Sus scrofa: one gene and its partners. The main gene of each other region encodes a partner of the protein of the gene in region 3 in a complex. Links are inferred from orthologs where the notes say so. Each region holds a gene or a part of one and is shown on either strand. Other genes may lie near its edges.

Region 1 (5,277 bases), on a different chromosome or scaffold from region 3:
GATGGAGATAATGGCTCATGCATCCCAAAGAAACTCTATTTTGAGGTGTGTTGAAGTGTGTGGAATGCTCCATTGTTAGATAAAGCTTTTAGGGCCTCTAGATTTTATTATCAATATTCTTTCCAGGAAAGACACATCTGTTTTTTGCTGTCATTTTCACACTGTATGTCTTTGAAGATTCAGCAACCAATTCTACCTCCTCCACAAATCTTTCCTTCCTCAACACTTCCCTGCAAGTTGTTTATTATCATATCTCACTTACTAGACACAAATACAATCACTTTTTAGCTTCTCTGCTCCAGCACTGTCCCCATCCCAAAAGTGGCACTCACCCATCCCCAATATCCTACAGTAAATTCTCAAAGAACACTGCTAATTGGCAAAGGGAAAGAATAAATGATTAAAGAAAAATAAACAAATAAATGAAATCTTTAAAAAATGAGTCCTAAATATGTAATTTAGCAAATGCAATCTCTTTTGCCAATCTCTGTCCTTTACAAATTTACAGGTGTTGAGGAATTTCAAAATATTCCCTAGATCTTCAAAACTGAGTGAAAAGAAATAATGATTACCTTAAGGAAAAACCTCTTGTCAGTTCTTGCTGGATTGTAAGAAGCGAGGTATGCAGCAATTAGAATAAACTTAGAGTAATATGGAAGTTCCACATGAGTACATGCCGAGAGACCTATACAACAAAAAAATTTTATGAAGGTATATAACAGGCTACCATTAGACTTTAAGTATCTCTTATCTTTTCCTTTGACTTCCATATGGTGTCCTCTAGTCAAAAGATTTTAAAGTGCCCTTAGCTCAAAGTGCCAGAATGATGGTGGCAGACGTGAACGTTATTATTAATGATATGCTCTGCTCATTCTATTTTTTTTGGCTCCTCCTCTTCTGAAGTCTAAATTCTATTCATCCTGCCCTGCAATGCCACATTCTCCATGAAACCTTCCTTGATGCTCCCCTATCACAACAAAACAGCAAATTTGTCTCTACTGTGAATTCCTACTTCGTGTATTTTACTTGTGGCCCACATAACTTTATACCTTATATTAAGAGCTAATTAAACAGAAGTTACATTTCTTACATTATAGTGTTCATTGAAGAAGCCATGGCTAATATGTTCTTTTTGTATCCCCACATTACCTTGTACAAATGAACTAAATGAATAGATAAATAAAACCAAAGAGTCAGTCAAAGCAGCAATGATTTTTATGGAAGGGAATAAAGGAATCTGATATTTACTAAATATCTAGTATGTGTAAAACATTGTGCTAGGTGCTTTACTTAAGCATCTCTGAATCTCTGCAGTAACTTAAAGCTCGAGTCTTTCCATTTTAGCTTTCTGAAGACACCAAGTTGGGCTCAAGATCACACAGGCAGTTGAACAAATTATTATAGATTTTTTAAAATTCCAGCATCTATTCCTTTCCATTATATAACACATAACTGAAAATCATTTAGCATCTCAAGCATTTAGAAACCAAAATAGAATCTCAATGCCACTTCATTTCATACCACTTGGCCCACCACTAGCTACTGACTCAACTGTTTAAATAAGAGTATTTTTTTAATTTATTTTTTAAACATAGCATTTTATTTTTTGTCTTTTTAGGGCTGCACCTATGGCATATGTAGGTTCCCAGGCTAGGGATCCAATCAGAGCTGTAGCCGCGGGTCTACACCAGAGCCACAGCACCACGGGATCTGATCCACATTTGTGACCTACATCACAGCTCACTGCAGATCCTTAACGCACTGAGTGAGGTCAGGGTTCGAATCTGCATCCTCATGAATGCTAGTAGGGTTCGTTAACCACCGAGCCATGACGGGAACTTCTAATAAAGAATACTTTAGATACCTACTTATTTAAAATAAATAAATAAGTTGGCCCTTAAATAAAAGGAGAGGGAGAGTGTTAGGGGCACTGAAACACCTCTCCTATGAAATAGAAAATCTGTATATAACTTTTGACTCCTCCAAAACTTAACTAGTAACAGCCTACTGTTGACTGGGACACTTACTGTTAATATAGACAATCAATTAACACATATTTTACATGTTTTATGTATATCTACATATATTTTATGCATTCATGACATACCTTATTTCCTTAATTTTTTTTGATATTTTTCTAGGCTATGCAGGTCATCTGTTTTTTTTTTTTTAATTGTTGTGTATCTTCAAATAATTTTCCAATATATTTATTGAAAAAAAAAATCTGTGTATAAGTGGACCCATGCAGCTCAAATCTGTGCTGTTCAAGGCTCAACTGTTGTTCTACTGGGATAAACCCAGAGTAACAGTTTCTTTGAAGAAAACAAAAGCACAAAGCTTTCAAAATATAACCACATGAAATTCATCCCCCAAACTACACTAACATAAAATTGAATTTATTCCATAAAACTTATGAAATCCATACAGAAATAAAATTGTGTTGTTTTAATATAAGCATTTAAAGAAATATAAACAGCTTGGTTTTCACATGACATAATTGAACATAAAACTGGTATTCAAACTTCACTTCCTCCCACTACATTAGTGCATTCCTTAAAAGAAAATCATTAATTAAAATATCATGGTGGCTTGTAAATTCTCTTATATAACACTACTGACTGACATTATCTTTAGTGCTAACTTTAGTGTCTTGATTATTAGTAATCAATTAAAGAAGAATCTCTGGTAATTGTCTCAATATTTCCTTTGATACCTTTCAGTTGTCCTGGATCTATGTCATCTTTCTGTAGCTTTTCCCACTGTGAACTGAAAGAAAATGGAAGAGCAATAAAGGATGGAAAACACAAAATCAATACACTGTACTTAAAACAGAGTCCTAGAAAAACTAATTTTAATTTGACAAAATAATTTCCTTATAAACAAGATAAATAACATATACATGTCTGTACCTCTACAAAATCATTTAGTACATAACAATATAAACGAATATATCAATACACAGATGTTGACTCTTTAAAATCTCCTCTATTCATAATTATAAAGCTATCAAAAAGCACCAACAAATAAGTATCACCTACCACTCAATAAAACTCCCAATATTCTAGTTATCATATTAAATACAACTGTTATAAATGGTTTCTAAACTCTGTAACAACTCCTACAGTAAGTATCATTACATCAAAAAAACTGAGGCCCACCGTTAAGTTGCCTAAGGATATGTTCCCCAGCCAGTCAGTAGTGGCGCTAAGAGCTGAATCCTTGTAAAACACCTGCAGAGTTCATGCTAACTCCAGGCCCAACTGTGATCTTACTTGCATTTAAAACTATTAAACAGCCCTAAATATTACTGAGAATAGAGAAGTGATATAACAAATCAATTTCATAGAGAAGCACATAACAATGACGGGCAAAGACTGCCCTGGCAACAGAAATACTGGCCGTATGACCCTAAATAAAGCAATAATCTCATTATAAAACTAGGCAGTTAGGCACAAGGATATTCAAAGACCCTCTACAACTCTCAAACTCTCTTACAACAGCCCTTAAAATACTAAATTAAGGAAGTTCCCTTGCGGCAGAGCAGGTTAAGGATCTGATGTTGCCACAGCTGTGGGGCAGGCTGCAACTACAGTGCAGGTTTGATCCCTGGACTGGGAATTTCCACATGCCGTGGCATGGCAAAAAAAAAAAAAAGACGCTAATTTAAAAATTAAAGCCGGGGGTTCTCATCGTGGCTCAGCAAAAATGAATCTGACTAGGAACCATGAGGTTGAGGGTTCGATCCCTGGCCTCACTCAGTGGGCTAAGGATCTGGAGTTGCTGTGCTGTGGTGTAGGTCATGGATGCGGCTCAAATCTGGTGTTGCTGTGGCTCTGGCACATAGGCCAGCGGCTACAGCTTTGACTGGAACCATAGCCTGGGAACCTCCATATGCCACGGCTTCAGCCCTAAAAATCAAAACAAAACAAAAAATAAATAAATAATTTAAAAAACCCAGATCAGAACAATTAAATACCCCAAATTAACTGTGTATATTTTTTCAAATCTTCAAGCACAGCTGAAAATCGTAGGAATATAGCAATGTAAGGAATTCTAAAGGCTACTAATGTATGTGGAGAACAGACCTACTTCAACAATCTTACTTTCCAGATCAATCATTTTCCCCACCTTATAGCTAAACAGTGCTTCACAAATAAGGCACTTTCACATTCATTTCTTCTTATAAATGCAAATAAAAATAAATTTTTATCAGTTACAATGTCATCTAACCAGACTTCGAGAGTTTAAATTGGTAAGATTTTTTTATATGGCAATTACCAATTTAATGTTATTTAAACTTTCAAAGGACAACCAGGGGAAAACTATCTTCAATGGGAAGAGAGAAAAATAACATTTACTTAATGTCTATTACGAACCCAGCTCTTAACATACTCCACTTAATCCTCATAAACTTACAAGACAGTATCATTGCTTTTTTCTTTTTTTTATTTTTTAAACAAATAACAAGACTGAGATCCAGAGAAATAAACTAATTTGACTAGGGCTGCAAAGCTTCTAAGAAGTGGAACCAGCATTTCAATTGAGACCTGTCTGATAAAAGAAGTCCATTCATGTTCTAAATAAATATATATGAACTACCAATTTCTAGAGGTGATGCAGAGTTATGGCAGATGTATTAAGTAGTTGTATTAGTTGAGGTCACATGGGTTAGAATTTTAAGATGAACCAGGGAACAAAGTTGGAGACTTTTTCATAATTTGTCCAAATTCCTTATAAAAGCTACAAAACATATATTCCCAATAATATCTTGCAGAATGAGGATCTAGCCTTCTATAGCTCTATTCTCCTTTTTCTTTATTCTGTTTATCACCATTATTTAATCTCAATTAGAAAAATGAGATACTGCTAACTCTGAAGATGCAGGAAGGCGCCATAAGCCCAGGAATGCGGGTAGCCTCCAGATGTGCCAAAAGGCAAACAGATTCTCTCAAAAGCCTTCAGAAGGAACCCAGCCCTTTTAAACTTCTGATATCTGGAATTGTAAGAATACATATGTGTGGTGTTTATGGTGATTTGTTACAGAGTAAGAGACTAGAGACAATCTCAGAAGTGACCACTCCGGGTTAAATAAAAAGATGAACCTTTTAATATGTACAGTCAAGTCTCTGTTTTACTTCTGGAAAGTTTTGTTGGATTAGAGTTTTAGATCTTAATTCAAACCCATTTTTCTCCTATTCTTTCTTCAGGAACTCCAAGTATATATCATCGTTTCACATTTATTGCTTTCTACTTTATTATTTTTACCACTTTTTAGTT
Region 2 (5,277 bases), on a different chromosome or scaffold from region 3:
CCTATAAATGATTCAGCAGAATGGTATAGATATAGAGGAAAGGACAGTTTCCTGTTTCCCTAGAAGTCTGACAGAGACCTCACTACAACCTGTTGAAAAATTCCTTCAGAGTTCCCATTGTGTCTCAGTGGAAACAAACCCAACTAGTATCCATGAGGATACATGTTCGATCCCTGACCTTACTCAGTGAGTTAAAGGATCTGGTGTTGTGCATGAGCTGTGGTGTAGGTTGCATATGCAGCTTGTTGCTGTGGTTGTGGTGTGGGCCCTCAGCTGTAGCTCTGATCTGATCCCTAGCCTGGGAACTTCTATATGCTGCAGGCATGGCCCTAAAAAGCAAAAAAAAAAAAAAAAAAAAAAAAAAAAAATTCCTGTAATGATTATAGGTTGAAAGATTTTTTGATATATTAAACAAAATTTATTTTTCAAGTTAATTTCACCTTTTTCACTTTTTTGTTGCTATTAGAAAAATTACATAAAGCTACATTATGTGGTTCACATTATATGTCTGGTGACAATGTATCCTAGAATAAAGTTTCTCAGGTTTTAAAATTCATGCCCCACTACATCTTTCTCTATATACCCTCATAAGTCAATGAGATTTTGACTTATTTTCTTAATGACTCATTCTGTCGCTTTTACTGCTGAGATTATAAAGCCAACCCTATGACTGTAAGGGAATAGGGTTATATCTGTGTTATGAGACAGGCTGTAAAGAGTGATGCATCTGCTAGGAAGAGACAGTAGAGGGCAGTATATTGCCACAAACTAAAACAGAACTGGCTGCATTCTTCAGAATTATTCAAACACTTCATTTTTAGTTTTATTTTTGGGGTCTGTTTTGAAAAAAAATCCTATGATAATAGCTAATATTTCAAAATTAATGAAAGTATGTTACATACACTCAAATTAGATGTAAAAATGTAACTATCTGCAAAAGAATAATAGCGAACTTAAAACCCTACCTTCATGACAACAGGTTTCTCAAAATTGTAAACAGAATGGGCCTTCCTTTGAACAAACTTCTGAAACTCTGTACAGAAAGCAATGACAACATTAGTACCTTCAAATAAGCAGTGGGGTAGAGTCAAAAAGGAACTACTAAAGTTTCATCTCACCATTATAAACCATTTGAAAATTAAAGGGCTCCTCTTCATAGATGTCATTTAAATGTTTCATCGCTATGATAAGACAGATTTCCAAGACTGACAGACCTATAATAAAAGGAAGACAAACTATGAATAGTAGTTTATTTACTGACATATAATTTTAAAATAACTGTCCTCCAAATAGAAAGGTAAAGTCAAAGATCATGGTTTTGAGGGGTGAGAAGTCAAGACATCCCCTAGGTTCAAACATGTTTCAGTCACTATATAATCTTAAGCAAGTTATTCAACCTCCCAGAGCTTAACTTTCATATACGTAAAACTTTCAGAGATGTTATAAGGATTAGAGATAATATTATCAAACACTCAGCATATGGCCCACAGTAAACACAACTAGAGCTGCAATTAGGTAACTTTAAATAGCTTTAGGGCCCTTGATTATTCAGAATCTCTAATCCCCTGGAGATTATATCTTAGTTTGTTTTTTTCCTAGAGAGAAGGTTCATTAGATTCTCAAAAGGGACAACGAACCCCAAATGGCTAAAAGCCAATGCTCCTCTGTAGCATTTGGTGTAATGAGAATACCTGCAGTAAAGTCTTAGCTGGATTTCCAATGTGACAAGGGAGGCTGAGCGTCAACTTTCTCTCATTTTAAATGGGAATAATAATAAATATTTTTAAAAGGCTGAGTTAAAGGATATATGGATATAAAAGTATTCTGTATACAAAACACTATATCCAATATTAATTATAATTTTGAAAAGCATACCATTATATAAACTCAAACTTATTTTAAAAACTACTAACCAAGCAGGTTTCTTACCATGTACAATATTTGCTTTAGAGTCCATGCTACACAGCTGGTTTGCCTCCATCAGATCTGTTGCAGTCATAAAAGGGTGTGATGGTGTTACACGATTTAAAGCAAGCATCTAGGGAAATACAGATCAGAAAAACAACTGCATGTTATTTGGGCATTTTAGAAATATTACTAAACAAAACTATTTAGAGTTCTGGAAGACTAAATATTAATGTTTGAGAAAGATATTCTCATCTTTAGCTCTATTAAAATACAGCATTTCAAGTCACATGCCATATAACTGTATAAATGTAAAGCACAAAAAAATTTTTGCTGGAGTTCCTGCTATGGCACAACAGGATCAGCATCTCTGGAGCACCAGATGCAGGTTCTATCCCCTGATGCCATGGCCCAGCACAGTGGGTTAAGGATCTAGCATTGTAGCTATGGCATAGTTTGCAATTGCAGAAGGGATCTGATCCCTGGCCTGGGAACTTCACAACAGCCAGGTGGTAAAAAAAAAAAAAAAAAAAAAAAAAGAGGGACAAAAAAAGTTCTTGCTGCTTCTCCACCCTTTCCTTGCATATCTTGTTTGTTTACAAATCCTCAAAAGAAAAATATTTTAAAAGGTCAACAAGAGACCAAAAATAAGAAAGGATACTATTCAAAGCCCTAGACCAAACAAAACCCAAACCAAAAATGTAGATCTGTGACTTGAATAAACTTTCTTAGCATTCAGTCAGCCAGTCCAGGTTAATGTTAAGTGATAGAAGTCAGTTACTTTAATGTTCGAGTGTATAAAAAAGAAAAAAATAAATAAACCCCAAATTATACACATAAACAACTCTCCTTGAAAGCAGAGTCCACTTTTCTGTAGCAAGTTGTTTTTTCAACAAAAAAACTCTTGTATTTGAAGATTTCTTTATTTGTAACTTATATAACATCTAATTTTTACTTATTTTTTTAAAAAAAACTTTAATTGAAGTATAATTAATTCAACATTCAGATTTAGTCATATATATAGGGCTAGCAGATTTAGCAGATAAAAATGCATGGCATCTGATTAAATTTGAATTCCAGGTAAACAATGAGTAACTTCTTAGTTTAAGTGTATACATTGTAATATTTGGGACATATTTTTACCAGAAACTCCCCATTTTTAAACCAGGGACCAGGGTCCTTACTTCAGTGAAAGAGTTTGGCAATCCTTGTCCTTCATTCCTGTGTAGGGAGGAACTCAGGTACCCAGTAGTTTCCTCCCTTTCTCTTACCCTTCCATTTTCCTTTCATTATAAAATATTTCTGACATATAAAAAGGTAAGAGAATAATATGAGTGTCAAGGACCACTTCCTCAGCTTATGAAATATAGACTTACAGAGTCGAAGTTCCTGTCTCTTGCCCTGGTTGGACTCTCTACTCTTCTCCATGCAAAAAAAAATCATGCATGTCTTCATCCTTCTACTACATATCTTTGTAGACAATACAGAGTAATTTTCAAGTTTTATATAAATAACATATTATACTTATGCCACTCTTTCTTCACTGAACATCTATCATGAGGATTCATCCATGTTAAGATATCAATTCTAGTTTCATTTTTTTTTTGTATTGTAGTCCTTTGTTTATACTCACAATTATTCTTTCCCCTATTGATGGATATCTGTCATTTCTTTTTTTGTAATTATAAACAAGGCTACAATAAACAATCTTGTACATGCCTTCTTATGAATCTGAGTATCTCTAGATGCTTAATTTGCCATATTGCTCTCCAAAGTACCTATATGTATTTATACTACTAGCAGCAATAAATTTAATAGTCGCAGGCAGACACCATACCATCAGACATAAACTTTTGAAACTCATCAGATTGCCAGGTCCTTAACCCACTGAGCAAGGCCAGGGATCGAACCTGCACCCTCATGGATACTAGTCATATTTGTTTCCACTGAGCCACAACGGGAACTCCATAATTTCTGGAGGTTAAACATCTTTACACATTATAAGACATGAGATACTACACTGGTGGATTGCTTGTGCTCACATTCTTAGTTGGTTCATTCCCTTACTGTTTACTCTAGAAGCTCTTTATAAATTACGTATAGTGTTGATGATTGTGTTGTCATTTTCCTCTCCTAATCAGTCATCACTTCTGTAGTATCTTTTGGTGTCCAGACATTTAAAAATTCAATGCAATTAACTTTAACCATCTTTTCTTGTGATTTGTGTAACTTCTCTAAGAAATATTTTCTTACCTCAAAAATACAAACATAATCTCTTATATTTTTCTTCTAATTTCTAAAAGAGTTTGCTTTTGTATATACATTTAGGTTTATCAACCTGAAATTTACTTTTGGCTATGCAATGAATGTGTTTTTTCTATGTGTATAACTCCTGATTTTTTTGGTGAAAAATTATCCAAATAACTGCATTTAATTGCAGTCAAGTCTTTCAAACTTTCCTTAAAAATTTCAACCAATTCCAAATTTGTTGAAATCCTTCCTCAATAATTTCAACCAATTCCAAAACAAGAAAAACCAAACCAAAAATCAAGCCATTACCTTGAATTAAAAATGTAATAGGAAACTGGCAAAACAGTGGTTCATGTTGACAACTTTGAAGCAAAGATATTTTTCCCAGAATGATGAGAGGAATGTGTGTATGTGTATCTTCCAAATAACGTAAGTTAGTAAATAGTCTAATTTTGGTACACAAATAACTAAAATCTCTAAAAATTCTTATTTTCCAAATACCTTTATTATGAAGATAACTGTTGCTGAAAATGGCAGTATGCTTTTGAAAAATGAGTGGGGGGTGTGCTAATGACAGAGGCAGTATATAGGGAGCAAAAACAGAAATGGGAAAGATGAATGTGTAAAAAGTGTTGCAAAACCATACAGTAAAGTGGGATAAACTTGAAGCCAGAGAGCCTTGGATTTGAGTCTTGGGTTTGCCATCTACTAGCTGTGAGACCTGGGGTAAGTTATTTAACCTAAAATTAGCCTCAGTATCCTCGAAGATAAGGATAAAATATATTTGTGGTTTAAAAAAAAGGGATTAATGTAAAGGATTAGATAAAATGCTGGTGAAGTAACTAGGTCACCTAACTCATGTACTATTTAATAAATGATACCTATTGCTATTATAAATGGAAGTGAGCAAGAACTCATGAAACCAAAATTATTTTTTCTTTGAAAAGTATCTGCCATATCTTTCATAATAATGAAAAAATAATTTCTAGAAAAAAATTAGGCTAATATCAAATACTCTTAGTGAAAGAAGAACTTTAATTTTCAGAAAAGCAAAGTACCCCCTAACTGATACTATTTAAAGCTTAAGATATAATTACTTGGTGAAAGACCATGACCAGGTTA
Region 3 (5,277 bases):
TAAAGTTAAAGCCATTGTCACAGCGCTAGAAACATATTCCTGATGCTGCTTTGTCACTGGATGATTCTCCCACAAATAAACTGGCCTTGTATGAACCTAAAGATTTCCTAGGAATCAAGAATACTGATAAAAGAAAACTTCTGAATTCTAATAGCCTTAGGAAAAATAAGTAGCTACTGCTAAATTAACAACTGGTGCTACCAAAACATATCCTTATTAGAACAAAAAAGTACTATGGTTTTACTGTAATTCTAGACCTCTTCAATCATATGCCAATTTCCTGGTGGGAAAAAATGTCAATTTACATTTACCTGTGTGACATTCATGTACCAACTGGAAAGAGAATCCATGGAATAATGTGTCTTCTTCTGAGTGAACTGAACACTTTCTTTCTCTTTGGATGGCACATCTACATTGCAGTCCATCAATTGTGAGGTGAGCTTTTGCAAAAAATGCTTAATATCTGCAGAATATAAAATGTAAATAAATCATATCCCCTTAAAACAAATCTAAAACACCTGAAATTTCTTGATCAGTATATTAAACTATTTGGGTAGAATGTGTTTTTCTACAATTAACATTGACATAACATTTAACATACTAACTATTAAGGTTCATTAACATCCTCCCAATATTTAAATTTCATTAATTCAGACTAACACTAAAGTTTATGTCTATTGTCTATAAGAAAAGTATTACCTAAGCAAATGCATAAACCTGAAAACTATATATTATATTAGGAATAATATGTACTTATATAACACCGGACAGCAAAAGGTTTTGAAGGCTCGGGATTACTCTGTGAGGTACTGAACCTCATCCTGCCAAAAACTCAGTGTCATGCTCTTCCCACAAATAAAAAGGGATAAAGACAGCCAGAAAGAAGACGGAAGAGATGTGTAACATCTCATCAAGGTTATTAGAGCATTAATACTTCACCTGGACAATCTTTAGCTTGCAATGAGACTACATATGGAGTGACATTATTCTGAAGGGCTTCTGTTAGACTCCTGAATGTTAAGTCATGATCTGTTACATTCACACCTATGGGATAATAAATCAATATTATACCATCATTTTATCATTAATAATTTAATAACAAAAAAGCTATTTAACATGTCAAGTAAATTATGAAGTAAAAATATTTTTAAAACATGGTTAGTAACAAAAACTAAGAAAATATACCACAGAGATGAAGAGATCTCTATTAAAAGTAGACACGCAGAGGCACACACTAGCCAGGAAAGGTATTTAGCACAATTTTCCTTTCAAAAAACTACTGGGGACATATAGTTGAAGTAATTTAAAATTCACAGAGTTCTTTAAAACAGTCAATCAAAAATAAGGGCCTTACTGTGACCCTAACTTAACAACTGAGGAGAGGCCAATCATTAATACTATTAATGATCACAGTAATAAATACAAAAGGTGAAGTATATATTGAGTTGATTTTTGAGGGAAGAGTCTAAAAACTAATTAAAACTTTAGATCCTTTAAGTATTTACTGAATCCCTGGTTCTTTTTTTTGCTATTTCTTTGGGCCGCTCCTGTGGCATATGGAGGTTCCCAGGCTTGGGGTCGAATCGGAGCTGTAGCTGCCAGCCTACGCCAGAGCTATAGCAACGCAGGATCCGAGCCGCGTCTGCAACCTACACCACAGCTCACGGCAATGCCGGATCGTTAACCCACTGAGCAAGGGCAGGGACCGAACCTGCAACCTCATGGTTCCTAGTCGGATTCGTTAACCACTGCGCCACGACGGGAACTCCTGAATCCCTGGTTCTGATTTCCACAAACAGAGTTTTAGTGCTCTGCATGCAGTTACCAGAGTTGAGTGGAAACTTCCCTACTACTTTGGAAAAAAATTGTGATAACTGATGATTTCCCTAGCGTCACAATGTGTGAGTTCTAGGAAGTGCTTCGGTGCTTAGGCAGGGGCCAGCAGCTCACATCTTAAAACTGCTCTGAGACTTGCTACTATAAAACTTCAGCTGCTTGGAAGGAAAGAAAAAGGTTTCAGAATCACCCAGGCCACCACTAAGCAAATTTTTTTTTTTCTAGGAGACAAAAATGTTGACAGGGTATTTTTAAATGGACATATGCCTTTTTGAAAACAAAGATCCAACTGTGCTTAAGCATTCTTTTGAGTATAGATTCTTCTTTCTTATAGAATCAAAATGATATTCCTAGCATGCACTATGGTCTATGATTGTGATACGGTATCTCTGAACAAATTTGGGATTTTAGTAAAACACTGGCTTATCTTTCTTTACTGACTGACTTTATTAACTATTTAACGCTATGTTCCTTAAAACAATGGAACTGTCTATTGGAAACAAGATAATCAACAACGACTTTAACTGGAAAAATGTTCTCCTCCGACCACTGACTTTGAAACATATGATTTCAATTAGTTTCTTTTCTCCTTTTGGCAGTAGGTGGAGAACAGATTTAAACAGAGCTCTCACAACAATCAGGCCATCCCTCTTGATTGTGTTTCCCCTACTCCACCTCCAACTGCTTTAACCTGGCAGGAAAGAGACAAAGCACCCCACAGTACAAGTTGGCCATCAATGAGCCTCAGTTTCTCATCCAAAAATGGAAGAGGTTTGAAATCAAGTGGCAGGCAGCACTGAGGACCTGGTTCACAGCATTATAAATATCATTCTCTGGAGTCTTGTTCCTCAAAATGGTCCTGGAATTGGCAATATAAGCATGAGCTGTAAACCTGATAGAAATGCAGGATTTCGGAGTTCCCTGGTGGTGCAGTGGGTTAAGGACTCAGCACTGTCACTGCCATGGCTTGGGTCGCTGCTGTGGCACAGATACAATCTCTGGCCTGGGAACTTCCCTATTCCACAAGTGTAGCCAGAAGGAAAAAAAAAAGAAAGAAAAAGAAATGCAGAGTTTCACACACGCGCACGTGCGCACACACACACACCTGATCTATTAATGAAACTCTGAGTCTACTAAGATCCCATGGAGGTTATTTGTAGGTACATGAAAGTCTGAAAAGTATTGTCCTGAATATCAGGAATAAGATTTAGATAATGAACAGTACTAGAGGTAGTATTAAACAACAGAATTAATTTATCTCAGACCCTGAAAAAATAACAAATTGGAAGTACAATGAAGAGTATTTTTGGAATCCAAATAAATCCAACCCTTCCTTTCAAAAGGAATAAAGAAAATCTGCTAATATTTCAAAGACATTTTTTCTATTATCCTGCAATCCAGATGTTTGGTTAAAATGAGATATTAATGATGGATACACGTAAATACCTAAAAAATTTACAATCTGCAGTCTGAAAGCAATTTGTACACAGTTCATCCAAACCCATTTAAACAACTGATATTAACACAATATTACAATACAATCCAAGAATGAAAAAATAAGCACAGGGAAACAAAATTAAGATCACAGAGTAATTCCATTGAAGATATGGTTTTTAAAAAGTATAAAAATCAAATCTATTAACACACTGGTAGTTTATTACTGAATTCAAATCTCATATTAAAATAACTAAGGAAGGAGTTCCCGTCATGGCGTAGCAGAAATGAATCCCTCTAGGAAGGAGGGATTCTAGGTTGTAGGTTCTATTCCTGGCCTTGCTCAGTGGGTTAAGGATCCAGCGTTGCAGTGAGCTCTGGTGTAGGTTGCAGACTCAGCTTGGATCTGGCATTGCTGTGGCTCTGGAGTAGACTGGCAGCAACAGCTCGGATTAGACCCCTAGCCTGGGAACCTCCATATGTCGCTGGTGCGGCCCTATAAAAACAAAAAAACAAAACAAAAACAAGGAAGAAAGTAATACAAATATATTTTCTTTTCATTTTCTGACAAAAAGGTGAGACAGATGCTAACTCTAGATCAATTTTCTAAAATTTACAGGTGTATGATCAGTAAAAGGAACTTTTACCGGTTTTGAAAGCATGCAAACTTTAACGGTTTAGTTGTGTAAATGAAAGACATAAAACAGGTTATCGAAACAGGTGATCTCCCACTATTCTCAACAACAAAATCACCATTTAAAAAAAACAAACACACACATATGTACCTAGAACAAGAGCAGCAGCTGGAATTTCTCTGAGCTTTATTTGACAGCCCCAGTCTCTTGAATTCTTCTGGAATCCAGAATGAGATTTTTGCAGAAATTCAATTAGACTGTCAAACAGGTTTTTATTTAATTCCTCTTGTAGTTGCTACAAAGAAGACATAAAACTTTATGAATTATTGTTAGTAATAATCCGATGCATCTTTCCAAGTTTAGGAAAGAACACTGCCATGATTTCAGTTCCAAAGATCACATGTAAAATGACTATACAGTAGATGAAATTTAAAATTTTCCTTAAATCTATGCAGTGAATAGTACATTAAAGAATTTCATTTATTCATTTAGCAAACATTTACTAACCACCTTACAAATGAGTCTCTTTAAAAAAGTGAAGAAATTGAGCTAGAACACTTACATTGTGTGGAGCATTATGATAATATAGGAAAAAAGATTAAGGCCAGCCAATTAAAGCTGAGCAGGTGATATATTTGAGCCTAAGTACCAGAGTGGGTGATAGAGCAGGTAACAGTAGATGAAATAAAGTTAGAAGGAATGGGGACAGGAGGAGGCAAGCAGGGAAGAAAGTACCAAACATCTGGGGGAACCACAGTTATAGCTAAACATAAAAAACATAAAAAGTGGCTGGGAATGTAACTTGAAATACTCAATGAACTAGACCAAGAAAAAAATGTATTTATTTTTTTTCCTTTTTTTTTTTTTGGCTGCCCCAAGGCATATGGAGTTCCCGGGGCCAGGGATCAGATTCAAGCCGCAGTTGCAACCTAAGCCACAGCTGGAGCAACCCCAGATCCTTAACCCACTGTGCCTGGCCAGGATTCAAACCTGCGTCCCGGTGCTCCCAAGATGCCACCGATCCCTCTGTGCCACAGTGGGAACTCTAAGAAAATATATACTTGATGTCAAAGTGTTTGAATTTTATTCTGTGGGAAGAACTATTAAAGGAATCTGAAGCAGAGATATGATTAAATCAGGGTGAAAGAAGGGTTAATCTGGCTGCACTGTGAAGGCCATATTAGATGGGATCTGAAAGGCTCTACTAGTAATGGGGCTGGAAAACCCCCGTTCGTGCTACAGGGCTGGCTCTGCCTGACAGCATTTGGCCAGTGGTGGCAAAGGGTCTCGTGTCAGACCCTAAGGGTTTGACATCAGAAGCAGGTACATCAATTAAGAGGATATTATGACAATTTAGGTTTCCTAAGCTAGA

Evidence for each region. Proteins that work in one complex are often made in the same cells at the same time.
Region 1: the proteins of ORC3 (region 3) and ORC5 are in contact, whole or in part, in a cryo-EM structure (PDB 7JPO), measured with the Homo sapiens proteins. The link is inferred for Sus scrofa from reciprocal best matches to the Homo sapiens genes ORC3 and ORC5. Residues at the interface, in NP_036513.2 of Homo sapiens: Glu99, Val109, Met144, Lys145, Leu148, His178, Ser180, Met181, Asp182, Glu223, Asp232, Ile235, Ile236, Gln239, His240, Ala253, Thr254, Ser255, Pro256, Ile257, Ile258, Ile259, Arg261, His265, Ser269, Cys272, Ile273, Glu274, Leu275, Ser280; in NP_002544.1 of Homo sapiens: Asn62, Val64, Glu65, Phe67, Thr68, Arg70, Leu71, Gln75, Tyr129, Leu270, Arg271, Ser274, Ser275, Ser276, Gln277, Leu294, His297, Thr298, His299, Val300, Glu301, Leu302, Pro303, Tyr304, Tyr305, Ser306, Asp360, Tyr367, Arg373, Pro376.
Region 2: the proteins of ORC3 (region 3) and ORC4 are in contact, whole or in part, in a cryo-EM structure (PDB 7JPO), measured with the Homo sapiens proteins. The link is inferred for Sus scrofa from reciprocal best matches to the Homo sapiens genes ORC3 and ORC4. Residues at the interface, in NP_036513.2 of Homo sapiens: Thr227, His260, Arg261, Leu262, Leu263, Pro264, His265, Ala266, Ser269; in NP_001177808.1 of Homo sapiens: Pro370, Lys374, Glu377, Gln381, Ser392, Gly393, Asn394, Ser395, Gln396, Arg397.

The regions. Positions count from the first base shown.
Region 1 is NC_010451.4:104,127,964-104,133,240, forward strand, and holds part of ORC5 (origin recognition complex subunit 5), read right to left. Parts: intron 2,767-5,277; coding exon 2,714-2,766; intron 686-2,713; coding exon 573-685; intron 1-572. UniProt on the Homo sapiens protein: Component of the origin recognition complex (ORC) that binds origins of replication. DNA-binding is ATP-dependent. The specific DNA sequences that define origins of replication have not been identified yet.
Region 2 is NC_010457.5:4,164,829-4,170,105, reverse strand, and holds part of ORC4 (origin recognition complex subunit 4), read right to left. Parts: exon of another isoform or gene 5,253-5,277; intron 2,039-5,252; coding exon 1,930-2,038; intron 1,215-1,929; coding exon 1,119-1,214; intron 1,034-1,118; coding exon 966-1,033; intron 1-965. UniProt on the Homo sapiens protein: Component of the origin recognition complex (ORC) that binds origins of replication. DNA-binding is ATP-dependent. The specific DNA sequences that define origins of replication have not been identified yet.
Region 3 is NC_010443.5:55,991,468-55,996,744, reverse strand, and holds part of ORC3 (origin recognition complex subunit 3), read right to left. Parts: intron 4,201-5,277; coding exon 4,056-4,200; intron 1,045-4,055; coding exon 940-1,044; intron 464-939; coding exon 312-463; intron 1-311. UniProt on the Homo sapiens protein: Component of the origin recognition complex (ORC) that binds origins of replication. DNA-binding is ATP-dependent. The specific DNA sequences that define origins of replication have not been identified yet.